Alligator mississippiensis: one gene and its partners. The protein of the gene in region 2 purifies or fractionates together with the protein of the main gene of each other region. This does not show direct contact. Links are inferred from orthologs where the notes say so. Each region holds a gene or a part of one and is shown on either strand. Other genes may lie near its edges. The genes, in order: HDAC3, SKI, SIN3A and RMND5A.

Region 1 (7,985 bases), on a different chromosome or scaffold from region 2:
TCTCAAAGCTGGCAAGAAACCAATCATTTAAAAGTTAAGACATACATTCTCATGAGATTTTATATGTTTGTATTTTTTCACATTTTGGTTACATAATTATGCGATGGTAGCATTAAAACACAAGTGTAATGGGTATATAAAGGTGAGATATTTACAGTATATGAAGTTTAGCACATTTAATGTTTCAGGAATGATTAAAAAACCCATTGAGATGTATTGTGTAGGCCTACTGCTTTATTTTAATTGCAAGAATCACTAATGGTATTCTTAGACTTTTACTTGAGGCTAACAGTATGGCCTGTATTTTTCTTGTAGTGGTTTACTGTCATGTAAGTACAATGTAAAATGTATATTTAAAAAAATAGTCAAACAAGAGTCTACAAGACTCTTGGTAATCCTTCCATGTAGAGGTGACCTGAGCAGGGTGCAGGACCTAGGGCAAATCAGCCCATGCAGGGCCCTGCCCCTGCTCTGATCCTGGACCTGAAGAAGCCGCCGCTGCCATTGGTGGTGGTGGTTGCAACGGGGATCAGGGGGGAGCAAGTAGCTGGAGGCAGAGTCGCCGCTCCGCCCAGCTCCATGCCACTGCTGCTCTGCCTGGCTTTGTGGGGGCCCCCAAAGTGCAGGGCCCGGGGCAGTCGCCCTGAGATTCACCATCTCTCCATGGACAGCCCTGCTTGTGTGACATTTTGGATCTGAGCTCCAGGCAAGCAGCAGACTTCCTGGGACAACAGTCAGGCCAGCAGATGGATCCCTCTGTCCCCCGTAGAAGGAAGTTTCCAACCACCATCCATTACTTCCCCTTCATAGCAGTGCTCTCAATCTTCCCTGCCTTTAGGATTCCTGCCCTGGCCTCTTCCACCAATGGAATGTGCTCCCCCTTCTCTGTTGCTAGGACTCTATACCTGTTTTCCAGGCAAACCACTGCATGTGGGGATGGTGACTTCTTGCTGCCAGAAGATACAAGCTTCCAGCTTCCATCTTCCTGGGAGCTCATGGCCTCTTCCTTTTCTAGCACTACATCTGGCAGTCCATCCTCCAGTCCTAGAGGTTTCCTCCAGCATAGAACTGATGAAGTCCTCATGGCGGAGGCTGCTTCAGAGCTCCGTTACCTCGTCTTGTAGCTCTCTTGCCTTCTCCCTGAGGGACACCACTAGAAGGCACCACTTACAGTGCAAGCACTCCTCCACCTGGCTGACACTAGAAGGAACCTGTAAGCTGCAGTCTGTACCACACCAAACCCGGACCTGAGTGGAAGCCTCAACAGTGTATGGTCCTGCCTGGACAGACACCTTGCAGGTGGAAGCAGAGGAAGAGCTGGAAGTGGCAGTAGTTCTGGTATTACAACATCTTCCAGTCATGCTTCCTGGTCTTCTAATCTGCTGCCTCTCATTTTGTGCCTCTCTTTCCAACAAACCTTCCCCAGCAAACTCTGCTGTAGTTGGCCTGTTTGCTATTCCTTGATCTGAAGGGTTTCCTTTTCCCTGCAACCTCTTTCCTCTCAGCCAGCTTACAGTAAAGGAACGTGAGAGAGAGTTTCCAAACAAACTCCCCCTCACTCTGGACTCTAACTAAACAAGGGGCTTAAGTCTTGGTCTAGTCTCTTGCAGAGTTTTAACTGCTAAAATAAAACTATCTAGTTAGTCCGCATTATATATATGTATAAAAAAAGAATCTTACCTTTCAGGCTTCTCGTCTAAGAGAGGGATGGCAAACTACCTGAAGGGTGGTTCCAAAGAGGATAGAGCTAGACCAGGGCTGGGCAAAATATGACCCGCGGGCCGGATCTGGCCTGCCAAGCCATTCTATCCGACCTGTGGGGCCCCTCAAAAATTTAGAAAATTAACATTTATCTGCCCCTGGCTTGTGTCAAAGATGACATCTTGTCGCTGCTGTGGTAGTGTGTGACAAGGAGAAGGTGGTGGCGGCTAAGCCTGTCTCTTCCTTCTCCGCTGCAGCCACGCAAGCCCTGCCAAGCAGTATGGGGACTGCATCAATGCCCCGGGGCCAGGAGTGACAGGAGCACAGGCTTGCAGGAGTGCTGGCGGGGGCTCTGCCTGCCATGGGTCGGTGGGGGGGGGAGGGAGGAAACAGGCTGTGGGCAAACCCTTCCCCTCCACAAACCACAACCCTCCCCCACACTCTCCCAGGCCCCCACAAAACCCATGCCCATCCCACAGACCACACACCCACATCTATCCACACCCCAACTAATCACACACACAAACACACATACCCTATACTCACCCTCCGACCCACACCCCTCCCACAATATACAAGAGTAAGATTTCATTTTAAGCTTTTATACTATCATCTCGATGTACACTACATAAACGCCTGTAAATCAGGACGAAAATGTTTTTTGAAATGAAATTAATGAATGTTGTAGTACATATTTGAGATTTTTTAGAATATAATTTGGTATTTTTCTGGTTCAGAGATGGCAAAACACCTTGCTGAAAGGAGTTATTCCAGGGTCAAGGGGAGGGACTTCTGATGGCAAAGGTCAGGGAGTGGGACTTCTGGTCCCAAGATGGCAACCAGGGGATCAGGCACCTGTCAAGGGGCGGGCCTACCCATGTGGTCCTCAATGGCTTGCCAAAACTCCGTAAACGGCCCTTCGCCTGAAATAATTGCCTGCCACTGAGCTAGACTGTTCTCAGTGGTGGCAGATGACAGAACAAGGAGCAACAGTCTCAAGTTCCAGCAAGGGAAGTTTAGCTTAGATATTAGGAAAAACTCTCTCACTGGGAGGGTAATAAAGCACTGGAACAAACTACCCAGAGAGGTGGTGGAATCTCCAGCCTTAGACGTTTTTCAGACCTGGCTGAACAAAGCCCTGGCTGGGAACATCTCTTTGGGGATGGTCCGGCTTTGAGCACGGGGTTGGACATGACTTCCCTTCCAACTTTTTATGATTCCATGATGTTAAGAGACTGATCTTTATATTTCCTTATGATTCAGTTTCCCCCTTTGCTTTTTTCTGTTTACAGGTTTTTGGTGTGCTCTGTTTCACTTGAAACGTGTCTTATTTTCCTAAACCCTTTCCAGTTCAGATAAAAGGCAGATGGAAGGAGTCAGGCAGAAGTTTTGACGAATATTTGCCTCTGGTCATAAAGATCCTCTTAAACACTTCTTTAGGCATGGCATTTCCTCACTGTTGAGCACTGGAGGGAAGAGTAGCTTTACTGGGGATGTTAGCTTTTACCTCTGAGTCCAGTCCACCTTTGGGATTTGCCTGCACCAGGATTCTACTGTATGCATTGTCTGAATCTGTGACTTTGAGTTAGAGCTGTTTCTGGCTTACCCCCAATGCTTCTACTGAGCTTTTCTAGGAAGAAATGCTAAGCTCACCTTCATTTATGTATAGCTTTTTCTTTGGCACTCAAAAGCACAGAATCTGAGCAGCTCACATATGCCACTAAATATCTTCAGGGGTTCTCTCTACTAGGATGAGTTGGAATGACCCTTGGGTGTGTCTTTGCACAGTAGAGTCCTATTTCCACAGCGATTCAAAAGGCTGACAGCATTTAAAGCAGTGCAAGTTCCTAATGTAGCTGTTATTCCCCATGTCATTTATCTTACTTGCAATTATGCCCTTCAGCATGTAGCCAGGGAAACGCCCAGAGAACTTTTACCTTTTCTACACAGTATATTTACATTAGTAAGTACACCTCTATGAAGTATATGAAATGCTTGGCTTCACTGCCCACTTCACAAAAATCAAGATATTTTACCAATCCACACCAAGCCAATCAGCTGTTCCTTCGCATATTACAATTAGAGGACAGTCTTTGAAGAATGCGGAGTATCTCCCCTACCTGAATAGCCACCTTTCCCAAAAATACAGACAACATTTAACATCTCTGAAATCCCATCTTTGATGATCATGAAATCGACCCAAACCAAACTCTAGCAGGGTCTTTCCTATCCTGCTGTACGGGTGTGAAACCTGGATGCCATGTTGGAAGCATCTGGAAGCTTTGGAAGATAATTGCTGGTGATGTTTTCAGGAAATTCTCCATCTCAACTGGAAAGAAGAATGAATGCTAGCTTTCTGGATCAAGGAAGCTCTACCAGAATTGAAGTTGTGTTTGTATGACGCTAGCTTTATTGGTTAGAACGTTATAAGGGTGCCTGACAGCCAGCCCCCGAAACAGGTCCTATACTCCCAACTCACTGATGGTCACTGCTCTAGACTCAAATACTGAATCACCCCCATGTACAAGGTATGAAACTCACCTCACTACAGAGGTGGATAGAGGAGAGACACAAAGAGAGAGCTGTGACCTGATCTGCTCCTTCCTCCCAGAGCTACTTCTCATATCTGCAGACAACATGAGGATCTCAGACTGGGCTCCTCAGCCATCTCGGCTCTCTGAGGACTCCCCTATTCACCAAAAAACTATCCTTCTGGTAGTGGGGGGCTGCCAACATTGTTACCTTAGAAGAGCCAGTATCAAAAATCAAAGGTCCACCAGGGCCTAATGGTCCCTCAGACTAGCATGGTTAAGGCGTGCAATGGGGGCGTGTGACTACTTTGTCCAACCTCCGCCAACTCCCAAGCTTGAATGATGGAGCAGCCATCTCTTGCTGGGCTGGGTGGACTGCGTGGGGCGGGGGAGCTGCGGCTCAAGTCCAGAGCAAAACTCCAGCTGGTTTCTGGACACACAGCAGGCCGAGGGCCAGCCCCAAGCGCGCGCGCCCTTCGTGCAGTAATGCAGTAGTAGCGGCTGCCCTGGCACCAGGTCACAAGAGTAAAGGCTTCAAGAACACGCGGAGCAGACAAGACCGAGCTCCTTCTGCAGCAGAGCGTCTCCGCCAGCGCGGGGACACTCCTGGCGCGGCGGCCCGGCCCGGCCCGGCGCGGCACACCGGCACGAACAGCTCCAGCTCCGCGGACTAGCGACCGGCAGGGGCGCAGGTCTGCGCCGGCTTCCTCCAGGCGGGGGCGGGGCCGCAGCAGGGACCGCCCCGCCCCGCCCCGCGCGGGAAGGACGCGGTCTCGCGAGGGCCGCGGGGGGCGGGGCGCCGGCCATGGCGAAAACCGTGGCCTATTTCTACGACCCGGACGTGGGCAACTTCCACTACGGTAAGCGCGGCGGGGCGGGCAGGAGGCCCCGGGGCAACCCCTCTCCGCTGGCCGAGCCGCGTGCGTGGCCGCCTCCCCCGTCCCCTGTCAGCGCCGAGGCCCGGCCCGGCCCGTTGGCCGTAAGCGCCGAGGCGGCTCTGGGGGGGCGCGGGTGGCTTGGCCGAGGCAGGCAGGGCCGGGCTGCTCCTGGGAGGGGAGGGCTGCGCGGCCGGAGTCAGTCGGGTCAGCCCCGTGGTGCTGCGGCCCCTGCTCACTGGGAGCCCCGCGTGTGCCTGACTCACCCGCTCCTCCCTCCGTGTGTTGCAGGGGCGGGACATCCCATGAAGCCTCATCGCCTGGCGCTCACTCACAGCCTCGTGCTGCACTACGGGCTCTACAAGAAGATGATTGTAAGCATCACGGGCGGAGACCAGCAAGACTGGTCTGCTGGGGCTGGTGGTCCTTGCCTTGCGCAGTCTTGTCTAGGAGGTAGACGAAATAGTTACGTCTAAGTGTGCCTGTGAAGTGCAGTCCAGCCTGAGCCATTGTAGCTATCAGTCTAGAACAGGGGTGGGCAAAATACGGGCAAGTGACTGGATCTGGTCCATGGATGCCCCTGTGGCAAATCCCACCTGCTCCTGCTGGCCCAGGGCCAGATCTTGACCGGTGTGCACAGCTCCCAGTGGGGATGTTCCCAGTGCTGCTGCACTTCCCTCACCTCCGGTGGAGCTGCCAGCTGAAGCGTCCCTCTGCTCTTCCAGAGTGGCACAGCAGGGGCGGGAGCTGGAGGCAGGGCAAGCAGAGCAGCACCTGACGAGCTGGAAGCTGCATGCTGTGGGGCTGTTCTGCTCCCCGCATCTCCAGTTGCAGCTCCTGCCCCTGGCACAGCTGTGGACTGCACTGCCTGGGTGAGCTCTGCTGCATGTGCATTTTCCAAGACCTTTCCCGGGGTAGAAGTCAGGCTGATGGGCCTGTAGTTTGCTGGATCCACTTTCCTCCCTTTCTTGAAGATAGACACCACATTGGCCTTCTTTCAATCTTCGGGCACTTCATCAGAACACCAGGAGTTCTTGAAGATCTTTGCCAGGGACTGGGCTATGATGCTAGCCAGCTCCTTGAGTACCCTGGGGTGTAGATTGTCAGGGCCAGCTGACTTGAAGGTGTCCAGCCTCTCAAGGTGTTCCTTCACAAGGTCAGGATTGATGGAGGGCAAGGAATCTCCCTCACCCAGGTCATCCCTGACCACTATGGGACAGGGAGTCCCGTGGGATTGATGAAAGACTGACACAAAATACTCATTTAGTAAGCTGGCTTTTTCCTTGGTGTCGGTTTTCAGTTGTCCCATCTGTTTTAACAGGGGTCCAATGTTGCCCTTTCTTTTTCCTCTGGCTCCCCACTTATCTAAAAAAGGACTTTTTATTGCCCTTGATACTTGTAGCTGGTTGTAGTTCATTTGTAGCCTTGGCTTTCCTCATTCGCTCCCTGCAGGTCCGGACCAATGCGGAATATTCCTCTTTGGAGGTGGATCCCGTCCTCTATTCTTTGTAGGTCTTTCTCTTTAGCTGCAGGAGGTCTGCTAGTTCCCTGGAGAGCCAAGGGGGCTGCTGTGCCCTTTTGCTGCCTTTCCTCCGAGATGGAATAGCATTAGCTTGTGCATCAAGGATCGCTCCCTTGAGGAGCGACCAGTCTTCCTGAACTCCCCTCCCCTATGGGTCGTGGTCCCTTAGGGCTTCACTGGCAAGCCTCCTCAGCTTGTCACAGTCAGCTTTCTTGAAGTCAAGGACTTCTGTGTTGCTGTCTTGCCAGCTTTATGGCAGATGGTGAAGGTGATCAGCTCGTGGTCGCTGTCACCCAGCTTCCCTTTGATCGTTAGATTGCTCCCAGTTGCCAGTATCAGGTCGAGCAGTGCTTTACCTCTCCTTGGCTTGTAGACTTCTTGTGTCAGATAAATGTTGTGCGTGGATGACCTCTACCTTGATTCCTGCATCTAAGCATTTTGTGACCTGGTCATAAAAAGAAACAAGGTTAGTCAGGCAGGATCTACCTGCTATGAATACGTGCTGGTTGCCCTTTAGCATTGCTTTCCCTGCTGGACTCCCACAAATGTGATCCTTAATAATTTTTTCAAAGGTTTTCCTGAGGATAGAGGTGAGACTAATCTGTCTATAGTTACTTGGATCCTCCTTCCTCCCCTTCTTGAAAATAGGGACTGTGCTGGCCCTTTTCCAGTCCTCTGGGACCTGACTTGAGCACCAAGAGTGCTCAAATAGCTGTGCCAGTGGCTCTGCTATGACACTGGCCAATTCCTTCAGCTGCCATGAAAAATGGAGAACATATTTTCTCCATCATTACATTGGATGGGATGCATAGCCATGGCTTGGAGTTCCAGGTTTTGATTGGATGCCAGAGAAAAAAACATTTATAAACAGCTGAGATATTCTAAGCAGCATGCCATGTGGACCACGCCAGTGCAAGCCATGGGCTTTCCAGGCCTCATGCTTTACAGGGAATCCTGCCCCATAACCACTGTACCATGCATGCAGGTGTTCCCTATCCCTCTACCTCAGCTGTGGCCATGGGATCTCCCATTGCATTATGGCCTGCACTGTGCCACCATGGAGCAGGGGCAGGAAGCAGAAGACAGAGGAGGGAGGGAGGGAGAGCCTGGAAATCCTGATAGCAGCTGCTGCTGCAGTCAGAGTGATGGGAGTGGGGGAATGACAGCGAGGGAGCCCAGGGGCCACAGATCAACCCTTTGCAGGCCACCAGGTGGACAGCCCTGCCTTAGCAGTAGCAGTAGCCTGGAGGGTGCTTTAAAGAGTAAGAGCTGGAAGCCCAGGAAGCCTCCCCATGTAGACTGCTGGGAGATAAAGGAGAGGACAAAGTTTTTTTTTCTTTATCTGTCTGCTCTGGG
Region 2 (7,965 bases):
GCTCTGACACTCCAGCTGTGGGAAAACGGGGGGGGGGGATGAGTGGGAGACAACTATGGAAACTGGGACTAGAAAGAGGGTGAGTCTATTCATGGTTTAAAAATAAGTTAGAGGCAATAAAATCAAGGAATTGGGCCTCCCTAGGTCAGCTTACTATAGCTAATATCCAGGTATCTAAAAAAACCTAGATAGTTTTAAAGAAAAAAAAAAGTGTGTGTGTTTAAATGAACCTTTAGAAAGTTAAAGAGAGTAAATCCATGACCAGCAAAATCGCTGTTGCTTCTTGAGAATGGAGAGCTTGCTCCCAGCTCCGTCCATCCTGGCCTCTCCAACTCCAGCAAGGAAAGCTTTCAAAGATCCCTTCAATTTTACTTGACAGAGTATTGGGTAGAAGGAGTTAAAAACAAAAGCCAAGACAAGTCGAGGGGGGGCTGTTTGTTAAAAAAAAAAAGAGAGCGAGCACAGGGCGTCTTACTCATCCCACAGCCAATTACACCATCGCCAGCCAGACGTCCTGGTGTCTGTGCGCTAGTTCTCAGGGCCCTTGTAACATTGCTGCCCATTGATCAGGACTGGTGCCAGGTGCCAAGGCAGCCTTCCACCCACGCACTGGGGATGCTGAGATGTACAGGCTGCTCAGCCTGAAAAAAGCCACCGGAAAAAAAAAAAAAGTGCTCTAGCTGTGTGCATGGGCAGACTCAACCCGGATGGCATACCTTGGAGGCTGCTGCTGCAGCTGACTCGAGACATCCATTCACTGACTGTCTACATAATCCAATACACAAAAGCCAGTCTGGTGGCAGGAGCCAGGCACCACTGTGCCAGAGTCTTATCCATTCACATACCACGCACTACTAGTATACTCATTTATCATCAGGGTTTTTCTATGCAACCTTATAAGCAGCTACTTTTAGTCCAAATATATGCAGAGATAATTTAGCCCCTGTTCCCAGAGCTATTCAGTTAAGAGGGTTTTATGTATTTGTCCACAAGTCTGTTCCTCTTACTTTATGTCCATCTTCCTTGCCCTGACCTCCCCCCACTTTCAGCCTCTGATGCCAATGTCCTTACACCACTTCCATTCCCTGTTAAAGTCAGGAGGAGGGGGTAAGAGTTTGCAAGGACCACAGGATCGGCCCCTAAATCATAGACAAAAATTAATCTGTTTTTAAATTAAACCTAAAGCCTCTAACAAGAAAACCGATTTCAGCTTGCAGCTAAAAAAAAAAAAAAAGTGCTCTCTTTAAATGCTTCTCCCCCACCTGAACACACAGCGTGATTTTCCAGCATGACAGACTGCTGCATGGCTTTAACAGCAGCTCTGGTGCCCTGGACCTTTCTATCTCAGTGCAAGTCTGAAATCGCAGTCTGGCTCCTCCTGGCCCCCCTCATCTCGGTCTTCAAATAAAAAACTGGGGAGAAAAACCCCCAAACAACCCCCCCCCACAGACACACTTACTTACCCTGGGTGCTTTTCTCTTGTATTTGTTGTTGTAGTCAAATTTCTCTTTCATTTCATCCAAGAGCTGGCCCAGTCTAACTTTCTCCTCTTTCCCAGTGTAATCCTGGCTGAGGAGGATATAGGACCTCCAGTTGGCCGAGTCAAAGCCCCAGTGGCAAGTCCTGTTCTCCAGGGACTTGTGAGAGTGGACCACAAATTTGTGCGGTGGGTACATGAGCCTGCAGTCCAAGCACTGGATGCAGGCTGCGCTGGGGTTGCTGTAAAGCTCCGGCACCAGGAGTCCCTTGCACTTCCCGAAGCACTCGTGGTACACCTTGAAGCTCTTGTCCGTGTACTCCAGCTCGATGGTGCTGGAGAACTCCTTCTTGCAGTGCGGCGGGTAGGTGCCCCCGTAGAGCAGGGCATTGCACAGCCGCTCCGCGTCGGTTTTGGTGATGAGCCCGCAGGAGGGGGCAGAGAAGGGCAGGATGCCCATGACTTTGAGGATCTCCAGCTGGTCAGCCGTGCACCTGGAGCAGTAAATGTGCAGCTCGTCACACACCGAGTTGATCTGCTGCAGGGAAAAGTCCCTGAGCACCGAGTTCAGGATCTGGGGCAAGCAAAGCCGCTTCTCTCCCCCCACCACGAAGCAGGAGATGGTCTCCCCTTCCAGGATGGTCTCGCACCTCTCCGTGGACCTGTCCGAGGGCATGAAGAAGGGGCCTGGCATCACCGGGGGAGGCTGGATGGGGGGCAGATGCAGGACGGGCTCCGCCGGGTCCTTGCCATTGTCCTTCTTGTACATCTCCTGGGCCCATCGTGCGGAGAAAGCAGCAGGGCCACCCAGGGAGCTCATAGAGCTCAGATGAAACTGTTCCAAGGTTTTCTGCAGTCCTGGATGAGGCTGGAAGCTGCTTCTACTTACAGTCTCCATTTTTAGTTTCTATTCCCAAAACAAAACAAAACAACACAACAACAAAAAAGCCCCGCTGATCTTCCACCCTGGTAGCAATCCACTGAACGGATTAAAGGGGAAAAAAACCCAAAACAACCCAACCCCCGCTTCTTTCTCTCCTTCCCCGCCCTGCTCCGGCAATCCACTCGCGAGGGGGAAGTCCTCGTGTGCTGCTGCTCTTTTCTCGGCTCGTGCCCGCTCACAGCCCCCACGGCTCCCGGGCTGCCCCGGCGCGGCGGAGAGTGCGGCCGGCAGAGGTCTTCATGCAGCCTCGCCGCCCCGCGCCCGCCTCAGATCCGCCCCGGCGGCGGCTGCTCTGCAGCGCGCTCCCTCCTGTCCATGTCCGCCGCCAGCGAGGGGGGGCAGCGGGAGGAAGCGAGCTCGGTCCGTAGACGGGGAGGGGGGGAGGGAGGGAGGAGGGAAAGCGTGCGGATAAAATGAAAAGGCCGAATTTCTTGCCCTTCGGAAACGCAGCGGGGCCGCGGGCGGGCTCCCCGGGCTGGGCGTGGAGGCGCTCCGGGTCTCTCGCGTCTGTGGTGCGCGCGGGGAGCTGCAGCAGCAGAGCACGTCCTCCCGCTCCGCTCCCCGCCACGGACTGGAGCGCCTCGGCGCTGAGCTAATGCGCCGGGCTCAGCCGCCTCCGCCGCCGCCTCCTCCCCGCCCCCGCCCGCGCCCGCGCCCGCGCCCGCTGCGTGTCGGTGTCTGCCTCGCTCATTGCAGCGCGGCCAAGAATGGGACCGGCTCCCGGCCGCGACCGCCGCCCCCGCCCCGCCACCAGGGACAGGGGGCTTCCCCGGGCCTGCCCGCCGCACCCGCACCCGCACCCGCACCCCTCCTCGGAGCACAAACACGGGCCCGCCGGCTCCGCACCGCCCGGGCACGGCACGGGGCACCGCACACCGCGCACACACGCGCGTTGTGCGAGCTGGGGGCTATACCACACACACACACAATACACATAGCACAAGCACACACGTTGTGCGAGCTGGGGGCTATACCACCCCCCCCCCGCCAATACACATAGCGCAAACACACACACACGTGTGATTTGGGTGCTATACCACACACACACAATACACATAGGGCAAACACACACGTGTGATTTGGGTGCTATACCACACACACAACACACACATAGCGCAAACACACGCGCGCGTTGTGCGAGCTGGGGGCTATACCACACACACACACACACACACAAGCACACACGTTGTGCGAGCTGGGAGCTATACCACCCCCCCCCGCCAATACACATAGCGCAAACACACACACACGTGTGATTTGGGTGCTATACCACACACACAACACACACATAGCGCAAACACACACGCGCGTTGTGCGAGCTGGGGGCTATACCACACACACACACACACACACACACAAGCACACACGTTGTGCGAGCTGGGAGCTATACCACCCCCCCCCCGCCAATACACATAGCGCAAACACACACACACGTGTGATTTGGGTGCTATACCACACACACAACACACACATAGCGCAAACACACGAGCGCGTTGTGCGAGCTGGGGGCTATACCCCCCACACACACACACACACACACACAAGCACACACGTTGTGCGAGCTAGGAGCTATACCACCCCCCCGCCAATACACATAGCGCAAACACACACACACGTGTGATTTGGGTGCTATACCTCACACACACACACACAAAATACACACAGCGCAAACACACACGTGTGATTTGGGTGCTACACCACACACACACACGTGTGATTTAGGTGCTATACCTCACACACACACACACAAAATACACACAGCGCAAACACACACGTGTGATTTGGGTGCTACACCCCACACACACACACACACGTGTGATTTAGGTGCTATACCTCACACACACACACACAAAATACACATAGCGCAAACACACACGTGTGATTTAGGTGCTATACCACACACCAACACCCAATACACATAGCGCAAACACACACACATGTGATTTGGGTGCAATACCACACCCCCCAATACACACAGTGCAAACACACACACACACGTGGTGTGCGAGCTGGGTGCTATACCACACGCGCGCGCGCACACCCCCCGGATATACGCAGTGCAAACACACACACAGAGGTGGTGTGCGAGTTGTGTGCTATAACTACAGACACCCCCCCCCCCCGGCTCTGCATAGCGCAAACACGCGCACACACACACACACGTGTGCATCTTCTAGGGAAACCAGGGGGCAGGTGAGGCCCAGGGCCGTGCCCGGCGGGGACAGCGGCCGCCCCCCCGCCCGAGCGCGCCCCGCCGGGGCTGCGCCGCCCGCGCTTGTGGTGCCGGCGCGGGGCCGCGTGAGGCGAGCTGCTGGCGGCGCGGGGACACGAGCGCCCCCTCCCGAGGGCCTGGGACCGCTTCTCCCAACACCAAGGTTTCCCCCGGATCCTCCCCTCACCCAAGTCTGTCCGGCTCCGTTAGACGCATCGGTGGGGAAATGCACACGTGCACGTGCCTGCACACACACCTTTGCTCCAAACTAGATTTTCAGATATTTAAATTAAAAATCAATGCAAAGCCATTTTGTTCCCTTCTTTCCCTCCCTCTCCCCCCCCCCCCCCAGTGAATTACCTAAAATTAGAATTATTGGACATTTTTTTTAATCAGTTTTTTATTTTTTTTTACTGTTTTACCAGCTCTAAATACAAACAGGAGAAGCAAGTTTCAAAGCTAAAGCAAGAACATCAATTTTTTTCACCATCTTTCTAAATCAACATGTTCCCTTAAATCCAATGCACAGGCAAGAGGAGGCTGGACCACAAGCTTTGCAGAAAAGATTATGAAATATTAGTGTTACCGTAGCAGCTAGGAGCCCTGCTCATGCCCAGGACCCCTCTGTGCCAGGGGCTGTGTAAATACAGGACAGAAAGATCCAGTCCCAGAGGTTTTATAATGTGAGTATAGAACAAGAGAGAACAGGGGGTATGAGAGACTGGAAAGGAGGGAGACAAGCTAATTTCCAAATGAATTAAGTCTGAAAGAACAAAGAAGAAACAAGAAAAAGAAAAGGTTTGTCTGAGACCTGGGGACACCGTAACTTTGGTATTTTATTCACATGGTGACGTTGGTGAGGCCATACCTGGAGTAGTGCGCCCAGTTTTGGGTCCCTCACTATAGAAAGGCTGTGGACAAATTGGAGAGAGTCCAGCGGAGGGCAATGAAAATGGTTCAGGGGCTGGGGGACATGACTTCTGAGGAAAAACTGAGGGACTGGCTTAGTTAGTCTGCAGAAGAGAAGACTGAGGGGGGATTTGATAGTAGCCTTTAACTTCCTGAAAGGGGCGGGGGGTTCCCAAGAGGATGGAGGTAGACCAGGGCAGGCAAAATATGGCCTGCCAGGAAATTTCATCTGGCCCACGGGTGCCCACCAACTAGTTGTACCCAGCATTTCCTCTAAGCTGTGCGGCAAGCACGGTCACACAGGTGTGCCTGGCAGTGCAGCATGAGCGTGCCCGCACGGCCGTGCACACCACACAGCTGAGAGGGAACACCGATTTTACCCACCCAGCTCTTCCACTCATGAAGGTGGAAGTGAGGTGCCCACATATACCCCCCACAACATACTCTATTGCACCTCACTCCCATCCTCACAGGTAGAAGGGCCCATCCCAACCAGCATGCACCTTTTGGGCGGCGTTGCTGCTGCCGCTGCTACAGCCACCAAGGGACCTGCTCAGCTTCCCTGGCATCCCTTTTGCTCCAGGCACCAGGTGGGGAAGCAGCAGGGGGGGTGGGAGCTGCAGCTGGGCAGGAGCATGGAGCTGGAGCTGGGGCTGGCAGCAGTGCAGAGCCCTGCTCGGGTGTGCAGGGTGTGGTCGTGAGGGATGGTGGAGCATGAATAACTGGTGCCTCCTGAGACTGGGGGGGCACCATGGCAGTGAGTGGGTACCACCTGCAGACGCTGCCGGTGATATCAGCGGTGGCAAGTGGGGACTGCCTACAGATGCTGGCAGTGGTGTCGTTGGCGAGTGGGGACTGCCCGTAGACGCCAGTGGTGGTGTTGGCTGCAGGGGAGGGAGGGTGGTGAGTGGGGACGACCCACAAGTCCCAGCGGCTGTTGGCAGCAAGGGTGGGGCGGATGGCGAGCAGCGACTGTCCACAGAAGCCGGTGGCGGCCAATCTCAGGAGGGGCACGTGACCCCCTACGCATCACCTAGGCAGTGGGTGGTGTGGGGACCCCCCACACATTCCCCACCATGGCACACAGCCCCAGCCAGTGGCAACAGCAGCAGAAGCAGCAGGCAGGGGTACTCGAGGTGCAGTGCCCATTACAGGTGCTGCTACTGGTGTCACATGGCTCCGGCCAGTGCTGCAAGTGGTGGCAAGAAACACAGCCAGGCCAGCCTGCCTCTATCATGGGTTGCTTCCCGAGGCACATGTGCAGCTCCCACACTCCTGTGCATGAGGGGAAGCCCCATGCAATGGAGCCAGCTGCCTTCACAGCTCCCTGGCACACAGGTCCCAGGACTCCGCTGAAGTGGAGGAGAGCCCTGGCCCCTTCTTCCTCACAGTGTCCCAGGACTTGCATGGCAGGGAGTGGTGAAGGCAGCTGGCTCCATCACATGGGGTTTCCCCTGGTGGTGTGGCTGTGGGAGCTGCAGGTGTGCTGTACAGAGCCCCATACAGGGCCATCTTGGGGTGGGGGGGCAAATTGGGGCCCCTCGCTTTGGGGGGGCCCGCAATCAGTGCTGCATAGGCCCTGCTGTGGCCACCATGCTCTGTCACTGTCAAGTGCCACCGCAGACTTTGGCTGTTCGCCACCCCCCAGTCTGCCAGCTCTGCCACCCTGCCCCCCCAGGCCCCACATACCCCTAAGGACGGCTCTGGCCCCACGCAATAGAGGCGGCTTGGCCAGGCTGCGTTCCTCGCCCCCACATGCAGTGCTGGCCAGAGCCAGAGCTGGGCACTGCTGGCAGCAGCGCCTGCACCAGGCATAAGCACCCAAGCTACCCCACCTGCTGGTACTGCCGTTGGGGGGGGTGGAGCTGTGCACCATGGGGGAAGTGTGTGGGGTCCCCGCACACCCCCACCCTCCCTCACACCCCACAAACCCCACGCACCCACACCCTGCCCCAACACCCCCATACACTCCCCCAACATACCCTATTGCCTCCTCACACAGCCACGCTCCCTCACAACCCCCCCCACACCCCCCACTATACACATACACACCCCCACACCCCACCATACACACACAGGCTCTGTGGATGCAGGGAGATGGGTGGATGTGGTGTACCTTGATTTTAGCAAGGCTTTTGATACGGTCTCCCCCAACATACTTGTAGGAATGGACTGTAAGGTGAATAAAAAACTGGCTGGAGCATTGGGCTCAGACAGTAGTAATTAATGGCTCCATGTCAAGCTGGTATCAAGTGGAGTGCCCCAGGGGTCGGTCCTGGGGCTGGTTTTGGTCAATGTGTTCATCAGTGACCTGGAAGATGGCATAAAGTGTACCCTCAGCAAGTTTGCAGATGACACCAAGCTGGGGGGATTAGTAGATACGCTGGAGAGTAAGGCTGGGACTCAGAGTAACCTCGACAAATT
Region 3 (6,895 bases), on a different chromosome or scaffold from region 2:
TTGAGCATAGGGTTGGACTAGATGACCTCTTGAAGTTGCCTTCCAGCCCTGCTTTTGTATGACTGTCACACATTCACTTAGGGCCTGTCCCTTAGTTGGATGATTTCTCCTCTCACTCTGGCAGCATGAAGGGGTCTGAAAGTGAGTGTAAACAGCCTCCTTGTTCCTGAAGTCTCCCCAGCTGGGGCAGAGCTGGTTTGTGTTATAAACTGGCTCAGCTCCCATTCCTATGCTGGGAACAGATCATGCAGGGAATCTCTGTTTGCTTGGACCCAGGGGAGGTGATAGGATGTATCAAGTTAGTTAAGCCACCGGGTTGGCTTGTGGCTCAGAAGCTGCCTGTGTGCTGAGGCTTGCACATCCTTCAGCCTTCAGTGTAAGTGCGTGTGCATGGAGCAGTAGACAAAGCAAAGCATCATCAGAACAGCTGGAGTTCCTCAGGGCACATATCTGTAATGCCCTGAGATTTGCAGCCTCCTGTGCTGCACTATACACTATCCAAACGTAGACATGTGTCCTGTATGCCTGCCCATCACCACTGTATCTGAACACCCTCTACGTAAATTCAATCAGCAGAAACAAACTAGTAAACTCCTTTGAGTCTCTATCGCCTGTTCAGTTTTGGAAGAAAGGCAACTGGTTGATTCATTTGCTTCAGGGTTCTTTGGCTGGGTCATACTTGATTTGATGTTGAAAAGCGTCACTCAGTTTAGTCTCCAAGATACCGCCCTGCCTTCTGTTTTACTATGGTGGGAAGCTGTTCTACTCAGTTCCCTCAGAGGGACACAGTACATTACTGAGCCCCATACCCCCCAAGATGGAGAGAAGAGCATGTAGGAAGGAAGGAAGGATAGATGGACTTCTAACTTGGGTTAGCTAGCAGACCACTCACTCCAGTAGCTGAATCTAGGCTGCTTCAGTGTATCTGGCTGGGAACCTGGCACAGCCCCTCAAAAACTAAGTCTGGTCAGCCCAGGGGGATGAAAAGTGCTAAGTTGTCCTGCTTAGCAAGGCCAAACTAATAGCTGGGGCTGAACAAATAATTAATTCATCATTGATAAGAGGATTGTCAAAGGTGAAAATGAGAACTGGGCACTTAATTCCCATTCATGTTATTGAAAATCTCCCCTTGGCTTGATTAATTTGCTGCTTTTTTTCTGTGACTGTAAAAGGGTAGCCTGCCCATTCAATGGCCTGAGACTGGTCAGCCCTGTTCAGTTAGCCTTGTCTACTGCACTTAGGATGCAGAAGTCCTAGTGGAAGGTCCCTGGCTGGGAAGAAAGCACAGAGACCTCTAGGGAATGTGTGGCCTGCAGACCAGGAACTACCTGCTGCCTTCCAGGAGACTTGGTCCAGGAGAAGCAGCAAGAGAAGCTGGTGCTGCTGGGCCTTGCCTGCAAAGAAGGGAGCTGCAGGTTGGTCTCAGAGGCCAAGATGACACTGAAAGGAGTCTCCTGTGGTGAAGACTGAGGAGGGCCATCTGTGCCTTTGAGGAACTCAGGAGACGGAGAAAAGATGTGTTCAAGAAGAGGTGAGTGAGGAGATGGCCTGAGGAAGCAAAAAGGCATGGGTGGAAAATTGGCTCTGGCAGTTTTATGCAGGGGTTGTGGTTTGGCACCTAGGAGTGGGAGTGAGGTGGAGTCACTACAGATCAGAAGAAAGACTGTAGGGTACTATCCCCAAGATGGGAGAGGGACTCTATAGAGACTCACTCTGGAGTCTGGGGTCATGAATGAATCACCTGTTGGGGCACAGCAATTGGTGATGAGGAAGGGACATTTGGAGCAAGCTCACCGCAGTGCTCCAGGTAACTGAGGGGCAGAGAGGAGCGCCCACAGTGCAGCATGCGACAGCAAACCACAGTTCTCACTGTTCTTCAAGTTCATAATGTGCTCACTGGTTATGATTGGCTGGGCGAGTCACATGGTAGCATCTCTGTTCTCTGATTGAATGGATGCATGAGGTTCAGTCAACACTTGTAAAGAGTCATTTTGAAACTTTTCTTTCTCCAAATAGTTGAGTATGTGATTGAGATTCAGTCTGTCCAGGCTGACAAGTGTACATCACACATGTTTCTGGAAAGCAAAAACAAAGGGTATGAGCATGGCTGACGACATTGGGACGTAACCTTTGCCCCCAATCTTGGAGTGAGGTTTACCCCTGCCAAATTAAAGCCACTGAATTTTGTCAGTATTTGACAACTCTAATTATTACTAATTAGCACTGATATCAGTCTTTTCATCAAAGTACTTTTGGTCTGCTAGTTCAGTCCTACTTGCGGCGTCCCTGTGAAACAGAGTTCAACCTGATAGGCAGGGAAACTGCAGCACGGATATTACTGCTGTGTTGCTTGTTTCAGACCCTGGGTTTAAGAAGACCCGGGGTTTGTGGCTCCTGAGTTCAGAGCTGTGCGCTGTGCTGAAATACTCCATCTTGTAACCTTGATTTTTAAACTGAGTAATATTCAAAACACTTTGTACTGAGCAGCAGAAGCAGGGAAAAGTGAAGGGAATAAAGGACTGGCCACAGAGATAGTGAGCAAATGGTCAAATTTACACCGTAAACTGGTGTACTAGGGACAGAGGCATGTCAGTTGGGGGCTTGTACCTAAGAAATGCTGAGCCACCACTGGAGGCAGCAAGTTCACTGGCTGACAAAGGTACTCAGCCTCTTCTTACAGGATCATGCCCTAAACCAGCTACAGATCCACCCCTACTGTAACAGTATCATGGACTAGACTATTAGAACATACTAGTGTAACCAACGGCATATTAGTTGTGACCCTGCACTGCCAGGCTTTGTGGATTTCCTTATCCTGGGCCTGAAGTAGGTGGACAGATACACTGTTGCTAACATTGGTGTAGAAAATCAAGGTGCCTTTCCTTTATGGTAGGCCAGGGGTCAGCAACCTATGGCCTGTGAGCTGGATCCAGCCCACAGACATGACACTTCAGAGACCTTTGGCAGCAGGAGGCTTGGACTGCAGGCCCATGGCATAGCGGGGACAAGGAGTGGTGGGAGACAGGTCCTAGTGTCGGCTCAGCTGCCTTTGACCCAGAGTGGGTTGTTCTGGCCCATGGGTGGAAGAAGTTGCTTGCCCCTGCAAAAGGTGCATTGCAGGGAGCCACCTGAAACCCCCCAAATGGACTTTAAGGTCTGCAGGACAGCCCTTGGCCAGTAAGCCAGCACATGGCTTTGACTGCACCCGTGGTGTGGATAAGGAAGGCTGAAGATATCATCTACCTGCATCCCACCATCCTTTAATATCCAGAGCACGTGAAATAAGTCTAGCTTTATTTCCTTCCCTCTCCACTGGAAATGCACAGCAGGCGGCCGACTCTGCATTCAAGCCCGAAGGGTCCCCAATACTGCCGGAGCATTTACACTCCACCTCAGATCCCCAACATCTGCTGGCGCCAAAGCCACAGCCCTGCTCTCCTCACCCACCCACGAGCGCAGCCCCAGGAGCCAGGACACCCCGGCTCTAGCTCCTCTCTGCCCCAGCTCTCAGGCCGCTCCCTGGAAGCCCCGTGCCTCAAGTTTCCCTGGCGGGAGATGGGGGAGAAACACTCCTACCTACCCGGCGTGTTGGAAAGTTTAATGGGGCGTGCTCCTCGAGCGCCCCGGAGCCGGCACCTCCGAGCAGGCGGCGCCCGGCTCCCCAGCCTGGGGAGAGGCAGCCGGAGCGGCCGCGGCTCCGCGCTCGCAAATGGCCGCTCGGCACCGAGCTCCGCCTGCACCAGGGCCGGGGCTGCGGGCGGCGGGCGCGGGGGGAGCCCGGCCCCGGCCGCAGTCGGCCCGCCCCGGCGGGCGGTGCTGCGCTGACGGGCTGGCGGCGGAGGCCAATCCCGGCGCGGGGGCGGTGCCGCCCATTCAGGACTCCCGGCCGCGGCGCTGAGGGTATGTAACAGCTGCTTCCCATTGAGGCTGGAAAATATCGGGCGTTTTCGGGGGAGGGGGCGGGCCGGGGCAGGGGGGGCCGCGGGCAGCGCCGTCCGTCCGGGGCCCGGGCCCGAGGGGGACCGCGCGCTCGGCTCAGCTAAGGACGGGAAGGGAGAGATTAAAAGCAGGAAAAGGGCTTTGCTTTCCCCTCCCGCGCGTGGGGCCGGGGGCGCCCGGAGGCGGGGGCTGTCCCGAGGGGTCGGGGCCGCCGGGCGGTGCGTGCGCGGGGCGTTCCCCCTTGCTTTTTGGCTCGGAATAAACAAAGCGGCGTCGCGCTTCGGGGCCGCGGGTCCAGGCGCTTGTTTGGCTGGTTTGTGCGCGGGGCTTCGCGGGCGCTGCCGGGGGCGGGGGTCTGAGCGCGGCCGCACACGCGGGGCGGCAGCGGAGCCCGGGCCGCGCGGGGCCCCCCGGGAAACTTGTTGGGCGCGAGTGGGTCTGCGGCCGGGCGGGGAGGCGCGGGCTGCAGCTGCCCCCACACCGGGGGGGAATCCCCGGGCCCGACCGCCGCGCGCCCCAGTTGCAGGCGCCCCCGGGCCGGGCAGCAGCCGCGCGGCGCTCTCCCAGCTGATCCGCTCGCAAACATGGAGCTGCCTCTCCCACCCCGCCTCCTCCGTGCTGGTGGGAGGGAGATGCCCGCCCCCGAGCGGAGCTCCCCCCCCCCTTCTCCCACAATCCCGCGCCCCTGCCCGCGCTCGCAGGGAGGCGGAGGCCGGGGCTGGGCTGCGTGTGGCGCCTGCCCGCGGGCACGGAGCCGTGCGAGCCGAGCTCGCCGCCGTAGCGGGTGCCTTCCCCGCCGGACTGCGGGCGGGGCGGGCCAGGCTATGCTGTGCAGGGCACGAGCGCAGCCGGGGCGGGGCAAGCGACAGATCCCGCCCCCCGCGTGCAGCGGCCGCAGCCCCCGAGCCCCGCGCGGGCTCCCGCCGCCGCGGACAAGCTGCACGGGCACCCCTGCCCCGCCGGCTTGGGCGGGATTCGCCCCGCTCCTACTGGCCGGAGGGTTTCGCCCCGCCCCCCCACTATTGGGTGGACTCCCAGCGTGGCCTGGCCCGGCCCATCACAAGGCCCGGCCGCCTCTCGGCTTGCGCTTCCCGGCCGAATGTGGCAAGGCTCCGTCCGGAAGGGGGAGGAGAGACGGGGCCTATCGTTGGCGCTGATTGGCTGGAGCGGAAGCGTCGGCCCGCCTCCCTGCGAAAGGGGTTGGGGTAAAGCTGGTGTCTTCCCCCCCGCGCGTGTAATGGATCCGTCCCACGTGGGCGCCGCTATCCCGGAAGTGAAGCTGCCCGGGAAGGGAGGGGCGGGTTCAGGGACAAAAGGCTGCGCCCGGCAGCTCCCCCGCGCCCTGCCCTGCTCCGGGGCTGTGCGTTCGCGCCCGTCGGGGGCCGGCGGCAGTGGCGCGGGCTAGGCGCAGAGACCCGAGCAGCTGTTGTTCCGGGCCCGGCCCGGCCCGGCCGTCCTCCGCGGGGGGCACCCCAGGGAGCCCCGGGCACTAAACTCCGCCTTTTCACGGCATCCCGCCAGGCCCGCGCCGCGGTCACGCACCGGCCCCTCCTGCGCGTCCCCACTGCCCTGCCTCTGGCCCGCCTCCGTCACGTGGCGGCGATTCCTCAGCGCGGCTCCGGCTGCTGGGCTCGGGACCAGCACGTGGATCCGGGGCTTCCCCTTCCCCGGCGCGGCCCGCTTGGCGCCTGCCCGCCAGCTGAGCCCGAAGAGGCGGGGCGGGGCGGGGCGGGGCGGGGCGGGGCCGAGCAGTAAATCGCCCCCGTCTTTTCCCCCCCCCCCCTTTTTTGGCCCGGGGAGAAGCGGCTGAGGCGGGACCGCGGCTTCCCCAGACCGACTGCGGGGAGCGGGCGCGCGGCGCCACGCCTCGCCCTGGGCGCTGGGTGCCGAGGGGAGGCGGGGCGCTCCCGTCCTGTGCAGCTGCTCGGGCGAGAAGCGACCTGCCGCCGCCGTAGTTGCACCGGCGGGGGTGGGCGAGGAGTGCAGCGAAGTCCTTGGCGCTGGAAACTTCAGCAACAGGCGGCGTCCGGGAGCGCGAGCGGGGAAGGCGGGAGCGCTCCCCGCGCTGTGCAGCGGGCTGGGAGCCGCAGCTCCCGGCGGAGGACCGGCCGCTGCTAAAAATAGCCCCCGTCGGCTCCGCGCGCGGCGGCTTGTTTTCCCTTTATTGGCCCGCGCCGGAGGCTGCGGGGGCGGGCTCGGGCACTCGTAACGCCCGCAAGGCCCGGCGCGTGCGACAGCGAGGGGGGCACCGGCCAGGCTCGGTCCCGGGCCCCGTCTTGCATCCGTGCGCGCCGGCGTCGCGGAGGGCTCCCGAGCCTCTGGACAGCAGCCGAGGGACAGCCCTCCGCGCAGACCCGGGCCCGGGGCGCCTTTACTTTGAGGTCCCGGCGGAGACACAGCGGGATCCGGCTTCCCTCCCACCTCCCGGAGGCGAGGGAAACCCGATGCCTATCCCTGTGCTCGTGAGCGCTGAGCAATGCCAGCCGCAGCTCGGCGGGAACCAGCGCCCCGCTAGGCCCTCCCCCTCCGCAGGGGAGGGCCGGGTGCGCTCCGTAGTCAGGGCGAGCGGCTGCGGCGGGGCCCTCTTGCTTGCTGCCCCCTCCCCGGGCAGCGCGTGGGAACCGCGGAGCAGGAGACGCAGCCCCGGACCCTGCAGGACTGGAGCCGAGCGGCCCGTCCGCGGGCGGGGACCGCGTGGTGCCGGAGGGCGCCCCGGGGTCGGGGCTGCAGCTTGATGCGCGCGGCGAGGCAGAAAGCGCACGTGCAGCGGGGGGACCGGGGGAGGGGAGGGGAGGGGAGGGGAGGGGGGGGACGACGAGGAGCCCGGCCCCGCCCCCTCCTCCTCCTCCTCCTCGCAGGGCAGCGCCGGGGCTGCGGCGCCGATGTAAACATTCCACAAAAGGGCTCCCCGGAGGGGGGGCGGGGCCTCCGCGCCACCGGGAGGCGGTGCCTCAGA
Region 4 (7,447 bases), on a different chromosome or scaffold from region 2:
TCCAGAGGAGGGTAACCCACATGATCCGGGGACAGCAGGGCAGACCCTACAATGAGAGGCTACGGGACCTGAACCTGTTCAGCATTCACAAGAGAAGGCTAAGGGGGGACCTGATGACTGTATATAAACTCACTAGGGGGGACCAGAAGGGTTTGGGGGAGACCTTGTTTCCCCTAGCGCCCCCCGGGATAACAAGGAATAACGGCCACAAGTTGTTGGAGAGTAGGTTTAGATTAGACATCCATAGGAACTACTTCACAGTCAGGGCGGCTAGGATCTGGAACCAACTTCCTAGGGAAGTGGTGCTGGCTCCTACCCTGGGGGTCTCTAAGAAGCAGCTTGATGCCTACCTGACTGGAGTCATTTGAGCCCAGTTTTCCTCCTGCCCAGGCAGGGGGTCAGACTTGAAGATCTACAAGGTCCCTTCCGACCCGACTTCTATGATTCTATGAACACTGCAGAGTGGGTGCCCAGAAGGGAGTGAACACATAAAAACATCTTTCCTGATTATGGTCCATGCATTAGGCATTGATTCTGCGAAGGGTTCTTGCCAGCACACTTCTACGGCTGTACACTAACTCATCCAGAGCCTCTACACGCAAAATGCTCTCATCTCAGTTCAGAATCAAGCTCTTTGTTTGTAAGAGGCATATTTGACTGACTGTCCTTCCAATACCAAGTGCTGGTCATTTAACCAAACTACTCCATATAGCAAAGTAGTTTATTTGAACTTTGGCCCCATAAAATAATGAACAAAATGAATGGATTTAAGCTTCATTTCATACCTGCCTAAAAAAACTGTAAAAACCCTCTGAGGGACTATTAAAATAGCATTTTCTCAAAAAAACTCTCTGGCATCTCATAACACTGGTGAAGGCTGCCATTGGGAATATATGAAGCGCCAACCCTTGAAAACTGTGGGGCCAGAAGAGATTTTGACAGATGACAATGGTGGCTCCAAAAACCCTTTAAGTTTACAAAGAAGCCGAAGATCCAAGTGGCCCCTTTAGCTGCTAGAGTTCAGGCACAGAGCTCTGTAGTCAAGGGCCCACAAAAGATGGAGGTGACTAGTATCACATCCAGCTGCCTTTGAAACCCAAGCCAAAGGACAGGTGTGAGGAGTACAGAGCAAAGCTCATGTTTCTACTTCTAGGGCCACAGCATGACACCTTCACCCTTCTGCCACCAGAAAGCCTCTTCACAGAATGAAAACACTGTCCAGGCAGGACTGGACAACAACAAATACCTGCACGGATGTATGCTATTTTCAATCCCATAATCACATATGTAAATAAAATCAAACTCCTGCACTTGTGCAGTACACAGCTCTCTTGGGACTACAAACCACGCCATAAAAGCACAAAGAAATGCCACAGGCTGTTGTTTAACATGGGACTAGGAACCAGGAAATCCCAGTTACTAATTCTTTATTTATCACCTGCTTCCTGCATGGCTTGAACAAATCACTTGGGACTCTCATCTCACCACTCCTTCTCCATCCCTCCCTCCCTAGATGATAGCTACCTACTTTGCAAAGATGCTGCAAGATTTAAGTGGCTCGTGTTTACAAACAGCTGTGAAGATGCTCTGACAGTACCAGATCTTAGTCACAGAAACACACTGTGGAGGTTGCCATCCACTGAAAAAAAACAACCTGCGGCCAAAACATTTTAAAATCGAACTGCCGTGGAAACACAAAAGCAATGAAACCTGCTGCCATTCATTTCAGAGAGCCCCAAAAACACCAACCCTGCTGCTGTTTCAGAGGCCCCTGCTACACAGCCCATGTATTACGCAATTAACCAGTGAATCACGCAATAAATTTAGAGTGGTCAAACGTGCAAATTATTACACCATAAAAATGACTACCAAGCTACATAAAGAGCCAACCAGCTATGAAACTAGTGCTTGAAAATGTGTAGCAACTCTACAGCTGGTTTCTATCCAGCTTTAATTTGAGCATGCAGCAGAGACCCAAAGCCCCCAGGCCTATTGCTGTGCATTTCAGAGCCCCAAAGCCTCCCAACCTGCTGCTGTTTGAGACCCAAAGGCCCCACGGGGCTGGCTGCTGGGTGCTCCAGAGACACCCAAAAACACAAGCCTGCCGCTGTGCAGTTCAGAGACCTACAGCCACCAAGCTGCTGCCGTTTGTTTCAGAGACACCCAAAGGCCCCAACCTGCTTCTATGCGTTTCAGAGACCTCAAGCTACCAGGCTGCGGCTGGGTGCTCACCGAGACCCAACGCTCCCAACCTGCTGCTGCTTGTCCCAGAGAGCCCCCGAGCCCCCAGCCCTGCCGCTGTGCATTTCAGAGACCTAAAGCCCCCAAACCTGCTGCCATGTTTCAGAGACATGCAGAGCCCCCCGCCTGCTGCCGGGGGCTCCGCAGAGACCCCAACCCCAACAGTCACCTCGCTGGGGTCACCTAACCCCATCTGCCTTCCTGCCTCGAGCAGGGGCGGCTGGACCCGATGATCTGCAAGGTCCTTCCCAGCCCCTCATAATCTATCTACGAATAACCCGTGTGTGGTGCAGAGACTGGAAGCCCCCCAACCGCACTTCTAGCTCCCTTCGTCCCTCGGGGTCTCCCGTCTCGACCAGCGCAGCCTCGCCGGGCCAGAAGCTTGCCCGGCACTTTCCCCCGACTCCTGCAATACGAAACACCGCATCGACCCCCAACGCTGTGCTTGGCAGAGACCCCCAGCCCCCCGCCGCGCCGCGCAGAGACCCAGGCGCCCACCCCCGCGGCCGGCGCTGTGCGAGGGCCCGACCCCGGGCACGTACTCTCGGTCTGCAGGATCTCGCGGCGCAGCCCGCCCGCGTACTGGATGAGCTCCTCCAGGCTGCGCTCGCACAGCTGCCCGTAGCCCGCGAACTTCTGCAGCACCTTCTCCAGCTCCCGCTCCACCGTCACGCACTGGTCCATGGCGGCCGCGGGCCCCGCCGGCCCGGACGCCTGGCGGAACTTCCTCCCCGATGTCGCACAGGCAGCGCCGCGGGCAGCCGGGGTCCTGCGGAGAGCGCAGGCGGCGCCGCGGGCAGCCGGGGTCCTGCGGTGAAGCTGCGGCGGATTGGCTCGTTCCGAGGCTAAACCGGCCTCTCTCCATGGAGCATGCGCGCGCAGGGTTGCGCAGGCAGCGCGGCGGGCAGCCTGGGGGCCTGATGGCGGGCTGTTCAGGCAATGCGGCGGGTAGCTTAGGCTGGGGTCCTTGGCCAGCATGGTGCTAGTGTGAGTCCAAGCAGTCTCTGCTCCTCGCTGCGCGCCCGGTTCAGGCCAGCACTAGCTTCTCTTTCCCCTTCTTCTTGCCTGCCTGTCTAGGACGCAGCTCCCAAGCTTGCTGTGCCTCTCTTTTTAACTCCCCTTGCAGGAAAGATGGACAGCTGCTTGGGTTGAGCAGCAAGGACTTGGTGCAGTGTTGCCAGCTCTCATGATGGTTCGTGTTGTTCTAAAAGTCTGTGCTTTGGGAATGTGAAAAACATCCTTCTTTTATCTCTCTTTCTTAACTATATATCTCTATATATTTCTAGATGGAGATCTCTAGATCTAGATCTCTTTCTACATATTGATCTATATCTCAAGATCTAGGTGTATTTATGTTTCTATATAGAGATAAAAGAAAGAGCTATGTTTTTCGCAACCCTCAAGTGTAAACTTTAAGAGCGATGCCAAAAATCACGCGAGTTGGCAACGCTGTCGGTGGGACTCGGGACAGACAACGCGCCTGAGACAGGCCGGGCTGAACGGTGGGTCCGTGCTTTTGCGGAGGCAGCGCTGCCGAACGTGGTGTTAACGTGTTCAACGTTAGGAGAAACGTTTTTGCAGTCAGGGTGTCCAGATTGTGGAATGAGCTCCCTCCAGACGTGGTGCGATCACCTACCCTGGAGATCTTCAGGAGGAGACTGGACGGTCACCTTGCTGGGGTCAGCTGACCCCCAGTTGTCTTTCCTGCTTGGTGCAGGGGGCTGGACCCGGTGATCTTCCGAGGTCTCTTTTGCCCCCTTACAACCTATGAATCTTCGGTTCGGATACATGTTGACCGCTGGGAGGGTCGTGCAGCTTGGAAATCTTAGCCATGTGACGAGAGAGATACATACTTTTTACAAGTCAAGGGCCAAGGGTTTGGAACAGGCTCCCCGCAGAAGTGGTACAGCCACTCACCCTGGTGATCTTTAAAAAGCATTTTGATGCCCACCTTGCTGGGATCATCTCACCGCAGCGGTCTTTCCTGCCCATGTGCAGCGGGGGCCAGACCCGATGATCTGTAAGGTCCCTTCCAGGCACTAACATCTACGAAACTATGGAGAAGCATCCTTCAGGCCAAAGTGGCAGACAGGTTACTAGAGTTTGAGGCAGCTGAGTTGATCGAGTATGGGACCAATGGGATAAGCCGAGATCACGTTTTGAAATGATCCCAGCTGCAGAGAGACTCTCTTTATGAAATGGTTAAGGACCACAGTAGCCACATGCGAAGGCAGTGCTGGCTGAAGTTGGGTGCATCAGCAAGAGATCTGAATCCACTCGAGATCAGAGGTTTCCAACCCTTGGCCCGTGGCTGCGAAAGGTTGGCTCCGATCCACAGGAGGGCTGGCTGTCGGACCAGAAGTAACCACCATACTGTGACCAGCAGCCAACACTTTCTTATAGGGTATACTGAGTATAAAAAAGGATTGGCTGCTGGTCTGCAGTATGCCGGTCACTTCTGGACTGCAGTATACTGGTCCGCAGTTTGCCAGTCTGCAGTCACTTCCAATCCACGGTCTAAAAAGGTTGGGAACCACTGCTCTAGATAACCTGGAGTCGATGTCAGTTTTTTTTATTGATATGACACTGTCCTTCCATGGTGAAAGGCATCTGTTGCTATGTTGTACCGAGCCCTCACCTTAGTTATGAGTTTGAAATGTTATGACAAGCCCTTCAGCCCTTGTATCAAATGAAGTTATTCCAAACTATTCCACTGATTTCCAAACTCCCCCTGCCCCACCTTTTGCAGTTTAAACAAAAGTTACAAGTTGATGTTAAGGTCCTTCAACAAAATAATTTCCTGTCTCCAAGTAAAACTCTTTAAAGCCATAGGCTGCCTATACAGGTGCTTGTTCTAATTGGACTGCATCGGAGCAGACTTGATTAATCGAGGCTGCTTTGCATTCTAATGACAATGCTCCAGCGCTGCTTTACCATCCTGTATATTAAGCCCCTGCACATTTTAAAATAACCACAGGGGCGCTTTATCTAAACCTTGTCAAATGAGCTTTAGATAAAGCATCCTGTGGTCATTTAAAAATGCGGGGGTTTAATACACGTGACGGTAAGCCACTTTAATTAGAACAGCTGTCTGGGAACTGCTCTAATTAAAATGCACCCCCTGCTACCCAAAGCATATGTATAGGCAGCCATATATTCATCTTACCCACAAAGATGATGACCAGAGAAAAAAAAATTAATTGTGTAGAAATAGTGGGAACAATCTGTACCAAGTGAAGTGGCAAGAAACAACCACAGAAGAATCTGGACTATGGTCCACTAGTATAAGAACGGCAATTGAGAGAGTCACTCTTATTTAGTTGAGATTATTGTCATATCAGTTTTGACTCTTCCACAGACCAGTGTAGAGGTAGAAAGCACAGTTGGAGAAAAGAAGGCAGTTCAAAGTAAACTTAAGAATAGACTGCTAGCCCCCCCTGCTGAACATCACTTTCATCTTTCAGTATAGAGGGCTTCTTTCTGGTAAGCAAGTGTGGATAATGACTCTCCTTCTGACTACGTTGACACACTTGATATTCATAAAGCCATTTCCACCTTGAAATTCTTAGATGTCTTGGAAGAAGATGCTCAGGGTGCAGATGTAGAGGTAACGTATGGTCTAGCAGACATTTTTTTAAGTCACAATTGCTGCTATGGTTCATTGTTAATAGATAGCCAGTCATGCCAGCTTTGCATTTAGGATTCATTGAACAGCTTTGTTTTAGGGATAATGTAGAATAGTAAAAATCCAAGTTTTCAAATACATCATTTCCTGTTATTAACATTCCTCTTGTTTTCTTCATGGAAGATTTTTCTTACCATGGTTTTGCTTGGTATTCATAGCCGGTGATGAATCCTAGCCAGAGTTTCAATGCCATCTCTCAGGAAGGGAGAGATGGGAACAATTGGGTTAGGTGAGAGCTTGTGGAAGCAATGGAGAGAGTAGTGATGGGATGTGGCTACCTCTGATCAGTTGGATGTGCTCAGTAATGTGGTGTCTTTTTGGAAGGGGGTGATAGGGGCTGTGCAATGGGGACCCAGGTTGGTACCTCTTCAAGAAGAGAAAGCAAAGGACTTGCTTCAATATGTGAAGCAAGCAAGGAGGCAGGTAAGAGCTTTGGGGAGCCCTGCTGTATACATGCAGCTAGAAATGCAATTATAAGGAGGCATATCGGCCTGTGGCTAAGCATGTGGAACTAGCTAAGTCAGAGGTCAGCAACCTATGGCTGCAGGCCAGGTCCAGCCCACAGAGCCATTTGATCTGGCTTGTAGACATGGGGCTTTGGCAGCCTTTGGTGGTTGGAGGGCTTCAGCAGCACTTGCTTTTCCATGCTGCTACAGAGAGAAGCGCTAGCTGTGGGTACTTTCCCTGGGTCTGAGTGGAACTGGGTCACACCAGCTCATAGTCTGAAAAGGTTGCCAACCTCTGCCTAGGTGGTGGGGTTATAGGAGGGAAACTGCAGAAAGTCCACTTGGGTTCATGCCGCTGAGAAGGATACTGGGATGCCACGCAGCAGCAGTGCCTCCAGCCAGAAACCTCAGGCTTGATTTTGGATAATCAACACCACATTCCTTTGTATCATCATTCATTAGCAGCTTCTTTCTTGGAACAGGCTGGTGCTTTTGACTTCTAACATTGTGATGGGACTTTCATGCTCATGGACTGGGGCAGGCAGCTGTGAGCGAGGAGGCCAAAAGCTATGATTCCTCCATCCAGGCTTCTGCCTATTTTGAGGTTACAGATTAAAACTACTAACATGTAATATTAGTGAGATTATCTGCCCCCTCACCACTTTGACCCTCACTTGCAATAGTCACTGAATGCTCTAAAAACCTCCAAAGGTGTGATTTATGCTTCCTGACATCCCCGTGAAGATATTACATGGTCATTTCCATTGTGCATTTGTTAACTTCATGAGTCTGTATGTGACTGGGATGGTTTAGTTGGAGATGATCCTGCTTTGAGCAGAGGTTGGATGACCTCATGAAGTCCCTTTCAACCCTGTTTTCTCCATGTTTCTGTAGTACCACTGCTGCGGCAGGGGGGGGGTTTCAAACAGGAGCACACTGGGAATGGATAAGAGCTTTGGTAATGTTCATAGAAGCTTGTAAGCAGCGGTGGCACCAAAAAGAAAAGTGTCACTTCACAGTTCTGTTTGGAAAGACCAAGCAGCAGAAAAAAGCAGCATTGGAGCATCTGAAGGAG

Evidence for each region.
Region 1: the proteins of SKI (region 2) and HDAC3 purify together in Homo sapiens (affinity purification with western blotting; 4 studies listed by BioGRID and IntAct, with this or other methods). This does not show direct contact. The link is inferred for Alligator mississippiensis from reciprocal best matches to the Homo sapiens genes SKI and HDAC3.
Region 3: the proteins of SKI (region 2) and SIN3A purify together in Homo sapiens (affinity purification with western blotting; 3 studies listed by BioGRID and IntAct, with this or other methods). This does not show direct contact. The link is inferred for Alligator mississippiensis from reciprocal best matches to the Homo sapiens genes SKI and SIN3A.
Region 4: the proteins of SKI (region 2) and RMND5A purify together in Homo sapiens (affinity purification with mass spectrometry; 3 studies listed by BioGRID and IntAct, counting the BioPlex papers as one, with this or other methods). This does not show direct contact. The link is inferred for Alligator mississippiensis from reciprocal best matches to the Homo sapiens genes SKI and RMND5A.

What each region holds. Positions count from the first base shown.
Region 1 is NC_081832.1:40,854,698-40,862,682, forward strand, and holds the start of HDAC3 (histone deacetylase 3), read left to right. Parts: upstream 1-4,976; 5' UTR 4,977-5,037; coding exon 5,038-5,092; intron 5,093-5,098; exon of another isoform or gene 5,099-5,211; intron 5,212-5,398; coding exon 5,399-5,481; intron 5,482-7,985. UniProt on the Homo sapiens protein: Histone deacetylase that catalyzes the deacetylation of lysine residues on the N-terminal part of the core histones (H2A, H2B, H3 and H4), and some other non-histone substrates.
Region 2 is NC_081836.1:13,628,548-13,636,512, reverse strand, and holds the start of SKI (ski oncogene), read right to left. Parts: upstream 3,014-7,965; 5' UTR 2,376-3,013; coding exon 1,464-2,375; intron 1-1,463. UniProt on the Homo sapiens protein: May play a role in terminal differentiation of skeletal muscle cells but not in the determination of cells to the myogenic lineage. Functions as a repressor of TGF-beta signaling.
Region 3 is NC_081834.1:27,956,098-27,962,992, reverse strand, and holds the start of SIN3A (paired amphipathic helix protein Sin3a), read left to right. Parts: upstream 1-3,881; 5' UTR 3,882-3,900; intron 3,901-5,481; coding exon of another isoform or gene 5,482-6,387; intron 6,388-6,895. Other genes in the region: basic proline-rich protein-like, read right to left, coding at 2,064-2,075, 5,482-6,387. UniProt on the Homo sapiens protein: Acts as a transcriptional repressor. Corepressor for REST. Interacts with MXI1 to repress MYC responsive genes and antagonize MYC oncogenic activities. Also interacts with MXD1-MAX heterodimers to repress transcription by tethering SIN3A to DNA.
Region 4 is NC_081825.1:14,510,990-14,518,436, forward strand, and holds the start of RMND5A (E3 ubiquitin-protein transferase RMND5A), read right to left. Parts: upstream 3,017-7,447; 5' UTR 2,926-3,016; coding exon 2,784-2,925; intron 1-2,783.